Styela clava: one gene and its partner. The protein of the gene in region 2 binds, or shares a complex with, the protein of the main gene of each other region. Links are inferred from orthologs where the notes say so. Each region holds a gene or a part of one and is shown on either strand. Other genes may lie near its edges.

Region 1 (9,413 bases), on a different chromosome or scaffold from region 2:
AACAGTGCAATAAAAAACAAAACTTTTATTGTGCAAACACATAGTTATCAGATATAGCCATCCAAGGCTAATAGAATCCGCATTAGATTTTCTATTGTTAGCATATATTCCCGACCAAAAAGATAGAAAGCCAGATAATAATTTAGACTTCCAAGCAAAGCACATCATTCTACTTCGCTAGTTGCCTCAACTAGCCATAACACTAGTCAATTCAGTGACATTAGTGATGTAACAATATGTAAAAAGACATAAAACAACATGAAATGCTATTTTTTGATTACTCTCCGAATGTGCGGCGGGCCAATGAAGCTGTGATCACATATGCAAGCTAGGTTAGATTCATTGCACAACCCTAGCATAAGATGAAGTAGTCTTCGACTGAATAGGGTAGACCGAACCGAAAAGATTCTGGTCTTTCCAAATAATAGCTCCTCACATATTGGTAGACAACAGTGAGTACTAGGCCTTATTTGGGTTGAACAGGAATCGTATATAAATAAGAAAAATAACCCACCATGTCGAGACAGTCGCAATTCTGATAAGAATCGTTAGGTTCTGTGTTAGAATTCGAATGAGCACTTGGAGTATCACTCAATTCGATATGCAATTCTTTAGGGGATTGAGGTATAATGTCTACATCTCTTTCATCAATATGTAAACTTTCAGAAGATTCTGACTTTGAATCCTTGGATAAAAAAATAGGAATATGATATTCACAATTTATGAAATCTCTATCTCAAAATTACATTTGTCATAGTGGAATAACGACTGAAACAAAAAGCTCATGTACAAAACACATTTTTTAAGTATTTATAATAAATCTTCCTCGAGTGCTGTACGACAAAACATATATAATGTTTGCTTCCAAGATTCAAATCACACAATATATAAAAAAGCACAAGATACAAAATTTGGAGCTTTATGAGGTGTGGCTAAAACCTTGACTGAGGTTTAAAACATGAAACCATGCGGTCATTCATAAAAAGTACCAGAAACATGTTTTTTCATTTGAAACTGGCCAGGTAATTGATGAAAAATTTTATCGAATTGTGATCAAATAAAATAAGATGCTATACCTGAGTCTCTCTTCCAGACAGTTGGAAACAGGAGAATGAGTCTGTTCCAGCTTCAATTGAGATAGAAGCAGTTGCTGGATGAAGAGTTTTGCTTGAAATTCCTGACAAGTAAATTTTATCATATTTGAATAAATCATAAAGAAGTCATTGACACAGCTGACAATAGACAGCGTATTGAAACCACAAACAGATCTAGGCAAACTGCTTTAATTCACCATAATTATGTGCGAGAGAATTTCTAGTCCTCGTCTTGAAAGAGTGAAATTTTGTGTACGGAAATCCGAAACATTGACAAACTACATTGATTGGCTAATGTTGAAGGTTGTGTTCTATAATATCCTTGACAAAAGTAGGTATACCTCATAGTAATCATGCCCTATTTTAATATTTAGTAGACAGGATGAAAACATTGTTCAGTCAAGAGCAAGAAATAAAATTGATCTAAATATTTAGTAAATACCTAGTGGATTGTCTCCACCAACAGGAACACTGTCCTCAATAGATGATGGAACAACCAACAAAATATTAGAATCCACAGAATCTTCCATATTTCATATCAATACGTACAAATATAACCATCTTAAATAATATGCTAAAAAGGAAAGCAAAAAGAAATTTAAAAGTGATCGGAGTGTTACTTCACATTTATAAAAGTGATCGCAGTGTTACTTCACATCGAGAAACTATATTAATTAATAAAATAATTGAAGTAGATTTGAATACCAGTATTACATTATTTGTAATGCGCCAACTGCCAACTGAGTATATAACTTTGTTGGATGTATAGAAGCATGATTTTATCAGCTTCAAATATTATATATCAAATTTTTTACCATTCCTCGCACTCTCAAAACATATTTATTAACTACATGATTGTTGAGGGAACATCCTTGAATAAAGACAAAAAAGTGAAATTGCTTTTCCTGTTTGTTTTTATCGAAAAGGGTTACAATTAAGTATTACCTGAATTAAAATTGCGAGCTTGGTCACATTATAAACACTAGGTTTCAATAACTAATAGCAAAACCATCGCTATAAGCATTTAAAATCATGATACAATAATTTCGCAACTTCGTAGAATTTCCGCTCAAGTATTTCGCTATTGGCATCACTTTAGAAAAAGAACATTAACTATTATGCCATGCATCCAAGATTGGTAACTGAATAATTGATTAGTAACTTGCACAGTGTTTTTCGATGTATTTGACTATTTGTGAATTTACGAAATTGAAAAAGAATTCAGTTTTGGTCTGGCATATAGCATGGAGGCAGTCGAAAAAAATAAATTATCGCTTTTGATTTTCTATAAGTTCAAATCTCCATTTACGGATGTCAAATTCTTTCAGATGCAAATATTGCAACCTTGCATCCCGCTTGTATTACATTTTTCAAAACTGAATAAAAAGGTGCATTTAGTGCATCATGGTCAATTCCTATATCATGGTGTTCCATTTCCTCATCACGAAACTGTTTGATTGTGCTTAGAAGTTCCTCATGCTCGGAGGAATCTTCTCTTGCTAAAAGTTCTCGAAGTTGATCATTATAATGTTCCGTAATAGTTTCTTCAACAGCTACAGTGCAAGCCATTGCAGCTTCTTTCCCCATAAGGGCAGTTCCAGCACCTAGTACCCATCCTGCAACATTCCATACTGGAGTTAATACAGTGGGACGCACTCTATGCTTAGGTATAAGTTCATTAAATTTTGCTAAATGAACTTTTTCTTGTTCCCACATTTCTTCAATGATTGGGCCGACATCAGTTTTACGTAAAATAGCCAGCTGTCCAGCATATATTCGATTGGCACCAAGTTCCCCTGCATGATCGACTCTGATCATTCTATCATACATAGCTTTGGTTTGTGCATCCTTAACTTGACGAGTGCATGAAGAGGTACAAAACGAACTACTCCTCAGTATGGAACAGTATTTGGTTAAACAACCACGATTTATTATTAGAAGCATGACTGATGAAAATTTAAACCATTCAATGTGACATTAGATATAAACAGGAGTTCTAAAATGAAAGTTAAAATAAAAGTTACGGTAGATTACGTATTGCTACAAAAGACATTCTCTGTATTATGACACTAAAGGCAGCATTAAAACGCAGTGTATTAGCAACTTAAATAATGATGATTTTATTATATGCGACTTGAGCAAATTATACCGCAAAATCTTTTGGAATATAGCGCAAAGATCAGAATAAATAGCTTTGAAAATATGGCCAAATAGCAATGTTCAAATATAAAGACACAGCCACATGGCATCATTTTTTTTAAAACCTGTTCATATTAAATCAAAAAATGCCTAGAGTAAATATGACAAAATTGAAAGAGATATTTTTGAAGAAGAAACTTTCGTTTTCAACTGCGAATATTTGAAATTGAGTGATCCAGCAGATAGGAAGAAAATAAATTTTGGTCCCAAACATAACTTTCAAATCAACTTTGTGTTCGATAATACATTCGAAAAAATTTATACAAAATTTGCAATATTTCTATAAGACTGATCACCCATCATTAAATAATGCATGGTATGTCCAAACTTCAAACATATATTTTATTGTCCAAAGTGTCATGACATAGATCCTGCTGTCATATTTGATTTAGCATTGCAAGTTGTCAGGTTCCCAGCAAGTTTATGAAAAATATGCAGTCTGTGGTCACCATTTCAGATATGCTGATTCATAAAATTTTTGATCTTTCGAAACACGACAATCAGTGCATTCAATTGCTGCTTGCAATTTGCAACGAATCCCGTTTTGAGTTTAAGTGAGCAAACACCTTATAACAAGGTATTATTAATGTTACTACATTAGGTGTTATAGCAGGCGGTCATTAAACGTAAAAGCAAACACAGAATTATCACAAAAATAATGTTTCAGATGGGCTCAATTATCTCAATCTCAATTATAGTTCACTTTAGCTCCTTATCGTAAGGGCGAGGTGTACTTAAAGCTCAAGCTAGTACTGAGCATATTTTTTAAGATGTTTCCATTGCGACCTCAGGACTGACCATCTCTTCATATAATGGTCCTTCAAGAACATAAGAACGAAACTTTAAATAATTATTGTTGCCAAAGATATGCATGCATTGGGGAGATTCTGCAATTGCTTTTACTGCTTCAAATCTTGCATCTTTAGATTCTTTATTATTATCAGACGATCGATCGAGGATGAATTCCACAAAAGTGGGGAACTCAACCATAGCAGCCATTCCAAACTCTAATTTCGCTATAGTTTTTATCAAATGAAATCCGGCACATTTTACACTTGTGAAAGGCTGGCGACATAAAAACAAAATTGCATCAATGGGAGATGATGAGATGCAACGAAACCATTGTGCCAATAAAGCTACAATATCTTCAGTCTGATCCAAGGGAGCTATATCCAATAACTGGCACATTGCATTTATAGATATCAGTCTCAAATCGCTTCCCTCTGTGCATATAATCTTTCCAATTTCAGTAATTGCCGCTTTGGTGCGGTTTCCCTCCTTTGCAAGAACATTTTTGCCCTCCATGCTTTGTCCAATGAATCCCAAAGTTTCAATTCCAATTTTTTTCTTCACCAAATCAAATTCATCAACAAGTGAAAACAAGGTGTCCAAAAATTGTGGAAAAATTTGTATAACATGCTGTGGTCCTTCTTGATACGACATTTTTCCAAAAAACTTCACAATTTCTGGCATATATAAATCGGCCAATGGATCAGAGGCAACATTTGTAATCATTGATATCAATTTGTTGACAACTCCATTCTTATTCAAGTATTGCAAACTGTGTTTCCTGAGTGCCATTTCAGACAAAGTTGACACGCAGACAACTTTAATTAATACATCATCTCCCATCAGCTCATTAACAAGATTGCGAAGCAAACCAGAAGAATCACAAACAGATAAATGTTCAATAGATTTAGATTGAATTTTCACAATAACATCATATCCTCTGTAACGAACGTTATCATTCTTTCTCATCACTGCCTGAAACTTTTCCAGCAATTCTCCTTGAAGAAGAAATTTTGCTGCATTGATAGAATATGACGCAAAATCAGAAAGAAACTGGACTGCAGAATGAGCTATTGACATGTCATCATCCCCAATGAGTTCTATTACTTTTGCAATGACATTTTTGCCTTCCATTAACGCACGGTTGCCTATATCTGTTACGCAGCATTCCCGAAGCTCACCGAGACATAAATGTTGGACGGAGCTGTTGGAATGATTCAAACCATTCCATAAATGCTGAGATAAAACTTCCAATTTTGCCCCAACATCAACTATTGGCAATAATAGCTTCAATATGAAGATAACAGCTGAAATTTGTTCTACATTTTGCGTATCGAAACAAGCAAAAAGTAAAGCAATATCCGGAGCTGTTATTATTCCCTTCAAAGTAGTGGGCTTAACGTTTACTAAGTAAGTTTTTCCGTCCAAAAGGGCAGCAAGACGATTTTCATCATATTGAAGTCTTTCGAATAATGATTTAACTGTTTCCATTATAAAATCTAGAGATAAACACACTTAAGGATATTATAATGTGATCGGAACCAGAATAATTTAAAAAAAATAATCAGACAAATCGTAGGACTGATATATATCTACAAAAATGTTCAGAGTTTACTCTATGCTGAATGAAAATCCAGCTAGGTCTATAATATAAACTCAATATGATACGATACCCCAAAAAAAACTATTACAAAGTGAATGAAGGAATATTTATTCATATCTGAAATGTCGTGCCAAGGGTATATAAACACACTACAACAGTCTCCTATATTTCAAAAAGATCAAATATGAACACTAAAGCAAAATCAAAAATTAATGATAAATGACCAGTCCTAGATGAAACTCTGAATCAATAGTTCAAAATTTAATATTTCCAATTAAATCCAGCTTGCAATGAAGGTATAGGATCAAAAGCTAATGCACTGGCTTTGATAAGCTTTTTTTCATTTTTACATCGATTAAGAGGATATGTGCATTCCATCAAGTCTGTAAGTTCTTTCGCACACACTTGCTGGACACGTCTATGATTATCTGCATTGTGCAGACGACAAATTTCCATAGCCATGACTTCGATGTCACACTTATCATAAGCTAAACCAGGACGTTGCCAATCATTTTCCAGTGGACGCATTTTTGGCCAGTTTTGAAGACCTCCGAATCCAGTTTCAACTAATTGTTTCCAGTAGCCAAATTTTTCTTCTCCCTCCTTTGCAATATTGCCAGTTGAAGTCCCACAAGAAGACATTCTGACTGGATTCCTATTTTAAACCTTACTATACTAGTATAGAGAAAAGCAATGAAAAAGTATTAAAGTATATAATGCCACAATATTATGAATAAACATGGTACGAATAAATATGGGACTGATTATATGGGTATATGCAAACTTGTTTCATATTGGGTCTTACTATTTGCGGAAAAAGGGGGAAACAAAGGGAAACTGTGCAAAACTGGTAACAGGTATTTGCTGTTTCCCTCTGCCCTCTGTTTTGAGCTATTCACTATGTTTTGCAATGTTATGACTTTATTTCAGTTATTCCACATTCACTTTGAGTTTTGTTCATATGTATTATTATATAAATACATAAGGATTTATAGAACATTTGTGCATAGTTCTGTAGTTAGGGTTACATAGGTGTCACAGATTATTGAAGTCATAAATTAAATAGTCTCATACCATCATATCGACGCATCAAAACCAAACAGTGCTAAGTCCACTTTTCCCAAAAACGACATTTTCCAACTGCTGATTTTCCTGGACTTAGCTCTACATTTTGGTCTATTTGCCTTATCTCTAGGTGCTCTAGATCTCAAGATAGCTATGGACATAACCCTGCTTTTTTTAGGGCATTTGAGAACTAAACAGAGCTGTGTCTGCTATAGTGGACTTAGCTCTGGATAACTGCATTGTAAGTCGGTGCTAAGTCCGTTTTTTGGACATAGCTCCTCCCAAAAATTTGAGTTAAATATAATAGAAAGCGCTAAGTCCATACCAGCTCTCAGTCATAGCTCAGTGTTAGCTGTTTTTTATGTTTACAGTAGAGGGAATGAGAAAGTTATTATTCATTGCCATAACCACTTTCCAACTGCTGTTTTTAAATTATTAAAATTTACATAATTATGGAATTTTCGAGTCGGAAATATATCTTTCAAGCAAAGCCAAGCAAAGTGTGAACCAGCCAGAAGACTTTACTCAGTTACGATATCCCATCTGATAAGAAATCTAACCAGAATATGATTGTCTCAGTACATACAAAAAATGAGATGCAGTCCGAGAAAAGATACTAAGACTGATCAAAAACGTAATCAGGAAGTCAACAGAGTCTACACTTTTTTAAATCCAGAAAGCAACGAGTTGGTGCAAGTGTGTAATAACTTTTTTTAGATTCCCCCGAATATAAGCAAGAAAAGGGTGGAAACATCACTGGTTCACTGGAGAAAGATATGTGAGGAAGATATGGTGACCACAACAAAGTCACCAGGGAAAGGCAGGAGCCATTTATAACTCATATAAAATTGTTTCCAGTTGTTGAATCACATTATTTGAGAAAAGACAGTCAGTGGGAATATCTTCATGAGTATCTGACTGTACGACAAATGTATGAAATATATGAGATTTGGTGCGAAGAAAATAGCTCTGCAGTTGAATCATATGATTTTTATTTACGCATATCCAATGAAAAATTCAATCTTAAATTTCACCGACCTAAAATAGATGTGTGTGATCAATGCTTTCAGCTTTCAAAAAATGCAAAAATCTCTATTGACTGACGAAGATTTCGAAAATCAAACTAAGCATATCCAAGAAAAGGACATGGTGCGTTCAATGAAGAGGGAAATGAAAGAAAAAACCACAACAGATTCTTCACTTCATGTGGCAGCTTTTGACCTTCAGAAAACTCTTCTTTGTCTTTGTGGACAAGTGTCCTCCTTTTACTACACACAAATGCTGAAAAATTTCAACTTTACAGTAACTGACATTCAGTCCATGCACAAGAGTTGCTATCTTTGGAATGAAGTATAAGGGTGAAAAAGCTCTTGTAAAATAGCGACTGCAGTGTTTTGATACCTGTCCTCTCTCACCACAGCAGTGAAGACTGTGCAACTTTTCTGTGACCGCTGCAGTGGACAAAATAATAACAGAGCTATGATTGTGATGTTACTCTATGCTATAGAGGAGCTGCATTTCGATGAAATAACACTTAATTTTCTAATTACAGGTCATTCTCAAAATGAGAATGACACAGCCCATTCGGTGAGGAGCTCTTTTAGAACTCTTTGGTTCTAAAGTCAGCAAGACCAGCAACACAAAAAAGACAGAATATAAAAGAGTCAGCAGGGAGAAATACAAGAGTTTGACAACATTATGTAATAAGAATTTAATCCCTACAAACCACAAGGCATTCTACGAATTGCTTCCAGTAATTGATGAAAGTTAGATTTCATGAGCAGAAACACTAGCTCAAACTTTTGTAAAATTAAAATAATTTAAAACAGTTTTACATATTGGGCTTGATTTAATTTTTTTTTATTTTTCTTGACCATTCCTGATTGAGAATTTACAACAGTTTCTTTCTTAACTTTGTTTAGTAATTTAGTTGGCAATGGTTATGAGAAGGAATATAATATAAAAAATGCAGTAATCAGTAGCAATAGCAGTCTGATAAAAATTGGATGCTAGATAACTATTGTCAGCAAGATTCAGGAGCAGAAATATTTTCTAACGTGGAGATAAGCTCACAAAAAGTGTCAAAAACATTGTAAAAGGGAATTATTGACGTTTATCAATGACAAGTTGCCTTTATAATAGCATAATAAAGGGGCCCTAAGTCCAATAAAAAAATTCTGGTTCAGAAAATCGAGAGCAAAAAATGGCCCAGGTCCAAAAAACTCCCCCCCAAAAAAATTTGGGGGGCAACACAAATTTTTTTATACCACTCAAATATGGCCTTCATTGTAACTTTGGTGGACCATAAAAACTAGACATCCTCGATGTAAGGTATTAGAGAAATAAAAAAAAGAAACAAAAAAAAAACGTTTTTTGCGTTTTTCTCAAAACTAGAAAAATGGACTTAGCCCAGTTTGGATTTCATGCGTCGATATGACTGAAAAAATCACAGGGATGAGATGTCTGTGAGGCCAATGGTCTGTAAACAGTAAACCTGCTGAAACACAACATCAATTTTGCAATTTAAAACACTTGTACGACCCATGCCACACTCAAAAGTTTCATCATCAACACAATATCAGAATGTTTGATCATTGCCACTGCGGAAAAACCATAATATGATCCATTTCCAGATCAATTTTTTCTTAAAAGATAACATACCG
Region 2 (11,284 bases):
CCGAAAAAAAGTTGCCAAACTAAGGGGTCAGCTTATACTTGCATAACTCTAAAACGCACTAAAAATTCTGCTTATACGCACATAGTAAGTAAAACATAACCAGGGATGGCCAATTCGAATAAAGTATTCGAATGTATTCGAATATCTCATTATTCGAATATCGGAATTCACGTTCATAAGAATATCGGATATTTGTGTGACGTCACACATTTTCGACGCCGCTTTCAAGACGTTTCCGTTGAATGAAAACATTCTCGATAGAAACTTGCGCGCGATTGTTTTTATCACTCATCAGCGTAACGTGTTATTTAGGCCCGTGAACGCTATTACGATTGTGTTATTTTCTCTAAAACGAAAATTTTCCACAAATTTGTTCCACGATAACGATAACATTTATTTTATTTTTGTATGCGCACGGAATTGTGAATCTGGTAAATACGTTCATAGGCGGCGAGTTTCTAAAGACAACGCAACTTTTTGATTGAAAAGCGGCAATTTAAAATACTGAAAACAAAACCGTAAACAACATAAGTTTTATTGAGTCCCGCGAAAATTTAAAAAACGCTTTTCTAGGCAGTGAAAATCACAAAATTTCGTGTGCCTCTGGCACACATTATGTTTGGTCAGCGTTTAGGAACGTATCGTCACTGAGGGCGGGATTTGCCTGATTATCCATTACTTTAAATTGCCGTCAAATATTTTCGGGTTAACACGATACAAGGTTTGAAACGCGACTTTTTCCCTGGTTGTGAGAATGTTATATTATAATTATTCTGAGGTATATTCAATCAATTTTATTGTGATGAAATAAATTTTACTCTGAGATATTTTACTCTGAGCATTTCGATCGAGCGGAGTCACTGTTAACAAGTACATCTAAATATTTGCCGTATTCGCAAAATACGGATAAAAACAATATTTAATCGGACAGTTTACCTCACGTTTTTATTTTTATGGCCGCGGACTGGTATATAAGAGTGGTGAGGATTTTATTTTGTCGACGCAACCGCAGTTTAAATTGAAGACAATTAAATTAATAAGAGCAAGACATTTTAAATATGCCCGTGTTGGTCACGAATTCATCACTTTGCACAACAGAAAATTATATATTTGTTGTTATATTATTTGTTGTAAAAGTCGACTCTTTTAACAGGTGGCATAATCGCGGCGATGAATATGTATTTTTAATTTACTGCTAAACTTTATATGTATATTCATTGTATGAAATGAATTATTCTCTACACTTAACAGGATTTTATATAATTGTTTGAGATTTTTCTAACGGCAATAACGAGTTGGCAAGATTGCAAAAATACATATTAAAATTAAATACATCAAGCAGTTTATCTCGTAATTTTAGGTCACAGATTGCCGTGGACCGAATAGTAATGTTTTTTTTGACGTAAGAAGAAGCAACCGCGAGTTATGTTGGACACATTAAATTAATATACAAAGATATTTTAGAATCTCGTAGTTGTCATGGATTGAATATTTTACGTAACAGAATGATCATTATACGCTGACAAGACGGCTCTTTTAACAAGCGCGGAATCGCGGTGGGTGTTACAGGCGGCAATGAGAATTTCCGATTTTGAAAATCCCGGCTGCGCGCTGGCAGTGGTGGTCATCTATTCTCTACTAATTTATTTCTAACTCCAAACACAACAATATGTTACACATAATAACAATAAATATACTGGTAGGTAGTAGAATACTCTGGGCTTAAATATTAGAATTTTTAAAGGCAGAATGGATTTTCGATTGTTGTTGCCTGTATTGCCAATAAATTTTATTACTCTCAGAAAATTTTCACAATTATCTGAATACAAGTAGTATTTTTGTCAATTGACTCGACTGTTATCGTAATATCATGGTACCAATGATAGAAAGCGTCAGACAACTCCTTGGCTATCTTTTCATATGGTCATTTGTACAAAGTGAATAATTTTAATGAACTGACTGTGTCACAAGTTGCTATTATTTTTTAATAATAGCTATAAACTATCAATTACTTTGTGTACATATACTGTTGGTCTGTGGCTTCATTCTCATATTTCTATTGAAGCTTATTTCCTAATTTACTGGGTTTTAATCAACTAAAACAAAAATGTGTTATTTTCGATTTTAGAATGTATTCGGAATTCCAGATTCGAAAACATTATTTTAGAATGTATTCGGAATAGTTTAGTATTCGGAAATGGCCATCCCTGAACATAACAATGATGGTTATCATTCTCATTAATTCTCTTCTGCAATTTGCTGTGGTGATAGCTGCGTACAATGTATAGGGCCGGCTTATATGTTTTGTTTTTAGGAGGTCGGCTTATATGTGATGACGGCTTACTAACCTTACAGGTCCAGCTAATGCGGCTAAGTAACACATCGGTAGTCGAGTTTGTAATGCTTCAAACCATTTTACAACTATTTCACCCAGTATATTAGTTGGTTGATCTGAAAATGAGCATGTCAATAAGTCACTTTAATAATTAGAGTGGTTATTATGTGTCCCGTATTTAACTTCCAGCTGAATAAAGTGATCTAGTTAATCGATAAAGGGATTTGAATTACCATATTTGTGTGGCACACAAGTTGCTGACATTTAGATGATACATGACATTTGATGGTCAATGTTAAAAAAGGATCGCTGGTCTCTTTTACCAGAGTAGAAATGTTGTTTTGATAGGCTTATCCCTGAGTTCACAAGGCATCTAGGACCGAGATTTGGTTTATGTAAGACTGCTAGGTAGAACATCAGGAATTCCATGTGGAGGTCCTTGGTGAAAAAACTTTCAGCATCAAATTTCCTTTCTATATCAATGAGAAACACACTCACTCAATAGAAGATGATTGAAATCATGAACTTCTCTGTATCTTTGCATAACATAAGCCAGATTTTCATCATCTACAAACTTCACAGGCATCCTACTGTCTGGTGTAATTTTCTAAAATAAATAAAAAAAGAATTGTTTATGACATGCTCTCTCAAGAATATGTTCCAAATTTTTATTTTTTTGGGGGAAGGCCCCCATTATATTTGGAGTAATATCCCTGTCGTTACAACAGTTCAAAGCGTAAATACAAAATTGTATGAGGCACTCACAAATCTATCAAGAAATTCAACATATTGTTTCCCAAACGTATCGTCTTTTAAAGTCCGCAGATGATTCATATCTACTGTTGTGCTGTTTATTCTAGGTCTGGTTTCAAGTATTTCTCTTCCGACAGGATCTTTTTGCATTCTACTCAGCATGTATTGAAGAGCCTTAGTTCCTGTCACCTCACCACATACAGCAACCATGTCTACAATTGAAAATTTTTTTTTTTTTCAAAATAGTCCAATACATACAAAACTAATAAAATGATTTATCTTCATCTTTACTTGTTCGCTTAACGACAGTTGCACGTGTATTTAATATGAATGGATTTGGTTGACATGGCTCGGCGGTGTGGCGCATCGTGCCAAGCGTTAGGAATACCTTCACCACTGATTACCCTGCGTAGGTTCGAATTCTGTGCAGGATTAAATACGTGTGAGTGGATTGCTGGACTCCTCCCCGCCATGGGGTGGTTCACGGCTTCCTCCACCACAAAGTTCATGCTTTCAAAAAAAAATAACTGGCTAACTAATCACATACCTGACATGGACTGGTAATCAAACGACAGGCCATGGTTTGCCATATAACTGAGCCTTCTTATAGTCGATAAATATGTAAATCCTATATGCTATGGAGACTGCCACTCATGAATAGGTGGCTCACATAGAACCTTTTTGGCCCATCATTGCCTGCTAAATTTTCTATACCTCAACGAGATGGATAATATGAATCAATTAAAATAATTTTTTCAAGCATTCATTGAAATTAATACATTGCTACTGATGGAAGACCAAAAAAGCAATTAAAATAATTTTTTAAGCATTTATTGAAATCATTACATTGCTTCTGATGGAAGACCAAAAAAGCTATAGGATGGCTTAATCATATGTTATATTACATCTTTGTGTGTTGTTTCATGAAAATGACCAACTTTTTACCAAAATTGAACAGTTTTCAGACCCGTGTTGATTAATAAATACCCCAAATCTCAAGCTGAAATATAAAAATTGAATGAATCTCACCATGTCTGTAAGGATTACTCAATGATGCAACGGCAGATCCAACAGCAAGTAACGACTTTTGAATATATGATGTAGTTATATGACCAGTATACAGTGACATTGTTTCATATCATACCTATTTAAAATTTGCTAATTTCTATATCAATCAAAATGTAACAATTATTGCTATGTTATAATTCAAGTTAAATATTTCATTTAAAAAAAAACTCCGAACAAAAACTTGAATATGAATAATATATGAAATATATACTAAAGAGTATGAGATGGGACAAAACAATTGCAGAATTTCACACACAGAAATACCAGTAGATGCAAATTATAGAAATAATTTGAAACAGTAAAGTGATATTCTACAGTTATTGCACCGTTATTTATAGGTAAATTATTAACACTCATAAATTTGCTGATGTATTTGTTTGATTATAATGTATGCAACGATGCTTACAATCTGCATCATAAATCAATTGATTATTCACATGCAGTTCAAATATGACCTATCACACAGACAATAGCTCAGATTTGAAATGATATTCCTGTATGATGTTAGGAACTTCTCACATGACTTCTTTACTTTGAACTGCTTTATATTCCATTTTACAAAATTTATCTTCAACAACTACGTGTTACGAAAACCCATCTAATATATAAGTCTAACAACTTCTAATTATTAATTTTGATTAGAGAACTTTTTGATAAATATTATGATTCGAGCAGTATTTTAAATCATACATATCCAATAACATTAATTATAATAGAGATAGACAGTTGAATAAGATAATCAATCAGTTGCAGTTTCGTTCAAATGCTTGTAATACATTTCTATTGCTTTTTCTTGCTCGACTGTTTCAACAGATCCTGGCCTCAATTTCCTGATTTCGTCCAGCGCTTCTTTAGCAGATATTCTTTTTTGTTTTAATAAATAGCATGCCAACATTGTTCCAGTTCGTCCATTGCCAAGAGCGCAGTGTGTAACTACCGGCTGTCAGGTTTAAAAAATACTCGGATTAGAACTCATAGGTGTTTTTGAAGAAAAGTTTGCAAGTTTGTATAATAAAGTTAATTTTTGAGTTTGAACAGACACATTGTTACAACACTACCAGTCTACTGTGTAGATGACTCCATCCCTATTTGAAAAAGCTATTTTTTCACATAAAAATTTTGTACTCTGAAAAATCCAGAAATACAATGTCCAAATACTTTTCTTCACAATATTGCAGTAATTGGCTTATTTAATTTCGCAACTAGGCTTATTTAGGGGGTCTGATCTGCGATAAAATTATTTCAACATTTTGCATTCCATGCCATTATACCATGTCAACAAAACTGCTCTGGAAGCAAAAAACTAGAAAAGAATTTTACCTGATTACACTTTTTCCCTTCGTCGACAAGTTTTAAAAACTCATCTATCTGATCAATTGTCGGAGGATGAAAATCTTTTATTTGAATCTTAGATAATTTCAAATTCAATGATTTACTATTTTCCTCAGCTCCTGGTGGATATTGTTCCTTCAATGAAATAACATGACGAATTCCAACTTCAGTGAAGTATTTGTAGTGATCTATTCAAAATAGAGTGAATAGAAATGATCAATAACTTAATAATGCTGAACCATACATGCATTTTAGGGAAAAAAATTGTTAAATTATCTCTATTATCTACGCAACACAGGCATGACAAGGGAGTAAGAAACGTAGTGAATGGTTTTGGAAAACTTTTGTGTCATGTGCACATTTTGGTGCTCGTAGTATGTGTACCAAGTTAGGCAATAATTTTATTCCAATTTTCCTTATTTTAGTTCTATTACGAGTTCAGGGACTAGCCAAGTGACTCCCATAGTTTTTGTACCTGAAATTATGGCCTAACTCTAACCTGGTACACATACTACGTTCCGGTGTCTGTCATCTTGGTATGCATACTTTAGGAGTACCCACATTTTTACTGAATTATGTTACGACTGCAAAAAATTTTTTCTCTCATTTCTATACGAGATGTATGCCCATTTTGCAGCTGAAAATAAATACCAAAACATACTTTATCCTAGGAATATAAGCACCAATGCAATGCCAAGCAAGTACGTTCCCAATATGGTGAACCTTACCCCTAGCAGATCACAGAGTCATCATCATTGACATTTTCAATTTTTTTTATAGTTGTCGCAATCCTTATTTCTTACCTAAATTTCCTGGGCATCCACATCCAGCCAGAAAACCTTCATCGACCCATGAGAAGTTAGGAGGTGGAGCATTTTCATGATTGCGGAATGCCATCAGATGATTAGATTGTATGATGTCAGTAGAAAATATTACTCAATGCCGAAGGCCACAAGATATATTTACATATACTATTAAATGACTATGATATACCTTAGAACAAAAGAATTCAACAAATGAGACTTGCTTGAAATAAAAAAAAGCAAGAGCAGAAAAAAAGATGAAAAACTGTACAATAATTATGATTTAAAGATCTATAAGATGGTAACGGCTTCAAAAAGTACTAGCATATATGACTGTTGATCTGTATTGAATCATGAATTAAACATGGACACATAATGTGTAATTGCTCTTCTAACAAATTTCCTAGCAATATTGTGATATACAGTGGACGAAAAGGGGTCAAATTAGCTAATTATGCTTTAGTTAGACCAGGGCTCTTCAAACTGGGGGTGGTCACTAGCTGGCTCAATGGGGTTTGCGGTAAAAACTTTTTTGACACCAACTTAGGTTAAAACAAAATATTGATCAAATTTGAAAGATTTGAAACCAGTATGAAGACCCACAATCACCGAAATATAGCAAAAACTTGATCTTTTTTGCGAGAATATTAGTCTCAACGATATTGTAAATTTGGGTGCTTCTGAAGTATGCGCACCAAGATGTCGCATAACCTGAACCCTAACCTGGTACACAACCTGAGTTCAGGTTGGGCGCCATCTTGGTGCGCATACTTCAGGAGGTCCTAACTTGTTTATTCATTCTCAATATTTTCTGTATTATTGAATAATACTGAATTAGTGAATAGTAAAATTTGACCATGCCAAGATGAAAAAAGTATTGAGTATTATGTTTGTTTTAAAACAAACAACCATATTAAGACCTCAAATATTATTTCCAAAGATTATTGCTACAATATGCACAATCAAAATTGCCTTCAAAAAAATATTTAATACAAAAACATGTTTTCTGCAGCAGCAAAAAACTGAAAAATAATTGTCTTCCGTTGAAGGATTTCAGTTCTATTGCAAATTACTTGATTAAACCAAAAATTTGTGTCCTTAAGTTTAATTAAGCAGCTCCAAGGATTTAAATAGCTAGTTATCAAGAGCCTTGCTGAGGACAAGCCTTGTTCTGCTTCTGTGATGACTAAATTAATTGAATTATTCGAGGCATAATGGAAAAGTAGGGATTATTTTTCAAATAAGAAAAGAATTACAGTAAAATACAGTAATCATATCCAATTTCAAATTTGAATAGCATACACATACTTCTATTAAAAGTGAGACAAGTATTGCACCGTAATCTAAAATTCAGCGTAAAATTGAGGTCACGCCATAATTATATTCTGATTTTCCTTTTTTATTACAAGTTCAAGGACTGTCTGTGTTAGTCAAGTGAATATACCCCCTGCCCATAGATTTCAGTCCCTTTACACAACTTTATGTAAATTAGGCGAACAAAATTAGTTACCTTCATATTGGTACACACACTTCTGGAGCCCCCAATGATATACTCTATTAGTATGACTGTGAAATACCTTATTTCAAAAAAGCTAAACATCAAATTTGAATACACAAAAATATATGCCAGGAGAGAAAATCGAAAATATTACTTGAAGGTATTGGTAACAGAGTTCAATTCATCTGGATTTTCTCGGACTCATTTGACAATACATTTACTATGTAGTGACAGTCTGAACAAGATCATATATCATCCATTTCCTTTCTTTTTCTTCTGTATGCCTTTTCTGAAAATCTACATTTGGTTGCACCACATTCACATGTGAAATTTTCACATTTTTCATCCCAGAATCCAGAACCATAATCAAAGCACAGCTGTTCACCTACTGCAATATCTTTCATGGCAAAAAAGGCAATTCGAGGAAAATTACTATCTTGATGATCGAAAAAGAAACGAACTGGAACCAAATTTGGCTCACAGTGATGATTGAGGTAGCGTGATACATTTCCATAAGATCGTCCATCGATACAATAAGAGCCACCCGGTTTATTATCAAGATCAAACAAGTAGAAGTCATCATCACGAGCGTCACCATCAGCAATGACCTCACCAATGTATTCACAAACAAATGATCCACGTGGGATTGGTTCTAATGCTCGAACACCCCAGCCAATATTAGGAGTTCTAAATACTTGAATGCGGAACCTTACACCACCATTTTGAATTACCCGATTCCTGCAAGATCGGGAGCACTTACATAATGGGTTACATTCATAAATAAAAGGTGGATTTTTGAAATTAAATGAAGGCAATAATCGACCAGATGCATCATACCAACATTGTCCACTTTGTTTTCCACACTCACATGATGTGCAATCCTGTGTGCATTTGCATGAAGTCATGGTAGGCATAATAGCATTTACATTTGTGTATTTGTAAATATTTTTGGAAATGTATAAAAATTCATGAGGTGGACTGACAGGACATGGAGCTTCATCAACAGCATTAATGCATGAGATTGCTATATTTTCTTTTCCTCTTGATATATCAGCTGAAAGTAATCGTTCACGATCAAGTGGTTCAAAACCTTTGTGATCTGTAATTGCATTTCGCGTAGCCGCGTTCATGAGAAGTGCAACTTGGCATAATGAAGGTTCTTTTGCACATTGTGCAGGGAAGCGACCTTCATTATTCTTGATGCGGGGATTGGCACCCCATGCAAGAAGCAAAACAACACATTCACGATTGTCTTCACGAGCAGCAATATGTAATGCAGTATCACCAAGAATATTTTGATGATCTATATTGCAATTTTTTTTCAAACACATCAGTAAAATCTTTTTGTTTCCTGCTAAAGCTGCCCACTGCAAGCAAATATTACCTTCTTGGTCCACAGTATGCATATTGGCATTATAATACATCAAGCATTGAGCGGTAGATGTACGTTTATGCTCCGCTGCCCAAACTAAAGGAGTCCATCCCCCTTCATCCAAGCAGTTTATTTGATTTTTGCTGCCATATTTCATTAATGTTAGACATGACTCGAGTCTCCCATTTTTGGCGGCATGATGGAGTGGCACCATTCCTTCAGAGTCGCTATGCACCAAACTTGTATTACAAGTAATTAGATATTTGACGATGTCAAGTCTGTTTTGCTGTTCTGCATAAAAAAGAGGAGTCTTACCATCTTCATCGTGGACATTGACATCTGCACCAGCAGTAACAAGCAAATGAACAATTTCCAAGCTATCACGAGCAACAGCTTCATGCAGTGCTGTCCTCTGGTTGGAACTGTTACGAGCATTTGGGTTGCCACCTGTTCCACACAACAATTGTAGAACTTTAACAGCATCTCCTTGTTTTACAAGCTGAATTAAATTTTTCGCTTGAAATCGAAGTTTCTTTGGTAAGTCTGTTTCTAAGCTTTGAATCAAAATATCCAAGTTCTCACGATCTGGCATTAGTTTAGTATTGTCTTGAAAAAGCATAAATTCAGGAAAAGGTTTTGTGATTCCCGGAATACGAATAACACAATTAGGATAACATGATTGTTTCAACTTTTCAGGCGACTTTTCAATAATTTCTGACTGCTCTTCTTCGTATTTTTTCAGAAAATCGGCACTTGGATTAACAGAGACTTCCTGAACATTCGACATAGGGCAACCACAATGAGGACAATCCATGCTATGTCTCATTAGCACTAGACAATTTCGATGAAATCGGTGTTGATGTTGGGGAGTGCTGTTGCATACAAGAAATGTGCCACCTGCACAAAAAGTGCCACAGCCTGGACAACACTCATGTTGTAACATGCGAGCTCGATGTTCGCTGCACAATCCATGAGCAGGAAGATTTTTAGAAGCTCTCATCATGTACGGCTCAGAAACATTATTCATGCAACCAGTTAATCTGCCATCAATGTTATCGATTGCCATACATGTAATTTTGTGATGTGATGGATTAAGAACATACTGGGACTTAACAACACAAATACAGAGTGGAGTGGCACCAAGCATACTCTCCATATCATGATATAGGGTTTGCATATCAGCAGATAATGATGCAGTTCCACGAACTGTTTTATAAGTTATTTTACTGGATGGTAGATTGCTTACTTTATCAACAACACTTCCATTGTTTGGCTCTGGTGTGTTCATTTCATTCTGCAGTGAATTGCTTGAAAACATAGACGTATTTTTTGAAATGTTTTCAGATGAGAAATCAACACTAGAAATTGAATTACCGATATTATCCTCTCGACGTCTCTTAATCTCCGATTCTTGATTTGAAGAACTTGTAGCGTGTTTGCGCTTTGACTCTATCGATGATACTTTTATGTCCGATCTTTCATCGGCCTCGTTGATGTTCGAATTTGGTGTTTCTGGCCTCTTATCGCCATCAAAATCGGCTATATCAGGACTTGGAGTTATTAAATGTTCTGAGCTTCCGCTGATTTCCGAAATGGCAATTTCAGCACTGTTTGTGTGAATTGGACTATTCTCCTTTTCAGACAAACTTATATCGCTGTTCTTTGTAATATCATCATCATCATCTGAAGATATGACTATAGCTTCACTCGTGTTTGCATTTTGCAGCTCATGCAAAGATTCTGACTTAACATACAATGGGGAATTAGGATCCTTTTCAGCTTCTTGTTTGATTTTCATTCTAGCTTGAACCTGGGTGAGATCAGAAATATACTTGGTGCATTTCATAAGTTGATCATTACACTCCATTCTTGAGAGTTCAAGAAAAACTGAATCCCAGTCAACTTTGCGTTCACTAGCAATAATTCGAACTATTGTGCGAAACTTGGACATTTGTTTATTACTGATTGGATCATCAGCAGGTATAATTGACAAGCGGCGATTTGCAAGTTCCTTGGATTCTGGATCGAAATAAGGGGTCGGATGAGATGAACTTTGCATTCCGCATAGTTTTCGTATTCTTCTTGCAGTCTGAACATCAGTTGTCACCCAAATTACAGGACAT

Evidence for each region.
Region 1: ubiquinone biosynthesis protein COQ4 homolog, mitochondrial-like (region 2) and NADPH-dependent 3-demethoxyubiquinone 3-hydroxylase, mitochondrial-like share a complex: the UniProt entries of both Caenorhabditis elegans proteins name them as parts of the multi-subunit COQ enzyme complex. The link is inferred for Styela clava from reciprocal best matches to the Caenorhabditis elegans genes coq-4 and clk-1.

The regions. Positions count from the first base shown.
Region 1 is NC_135263.1:5,458,932-5,468,344, reverse strand, and holds NADPH-dependent 3-demethoxyubiquinone 3-hydroxylase, mitochondrial-like, read right to left. Parts: upstream 3,042-9,413; 5' UTR 3,039-3,041; coding exon 2,409-3,038; 3' UTR 1,669-2,408; downstream 1-1,668. Other genes in the region: uncharacterized protein LOC120341376, read right to left, coding at 515-685, 1,077-1,177, 1,537-1,624; 26S proteasome non-ATPase regulatory subunit 5-like, read right to left, coding at 4,059-5,573. UniProt on the Caenorhabditis elegans protein: Catalyzes the hydroxylation of the 5-methoxy-2-methyl-3-(all-trans-polyprenyl)benzoquinone at the C6 position and participates in the biosynthesis of ubiquinone.
Region 2 is NC_135256.1:11,735,817-11,747,100, forward strand, and holds the start of ubiquinone biosynthesis protein COQ4 homolog, mitochondrial-like, read right to left. Parts: upstream 4,258-11,284; 5' UTR 4,218-4,257; coding exon 4,118-4,217; intron 3,301-4,117; coding exon 3,101-3,300; intron 2,943-3,100; coding exon 2,834-2,942; intron 2,452-2,833; coding exon 2,349-2,451; intron 1-2,348. Other genes in the region: dual specificity protein phosphatase 23-like, read right to left, coding at 4,896-5,096, 5,477-5,676, 6,292-6,385; histone-lysine N-methyltransferase EHMT2-like, read right to left, coding at 8,035-11,284. UniProt on the Caenorhabditis elegans protein: Lyase that catalyzes the C1-decarboxylation of 4-hydroxy-3-methoxy-5-(all-trans-polyprenyl)benzoic acid into 2-methoxy-6-(all-trans-polyprenyl)phenol during ubiquinone biosynthesis.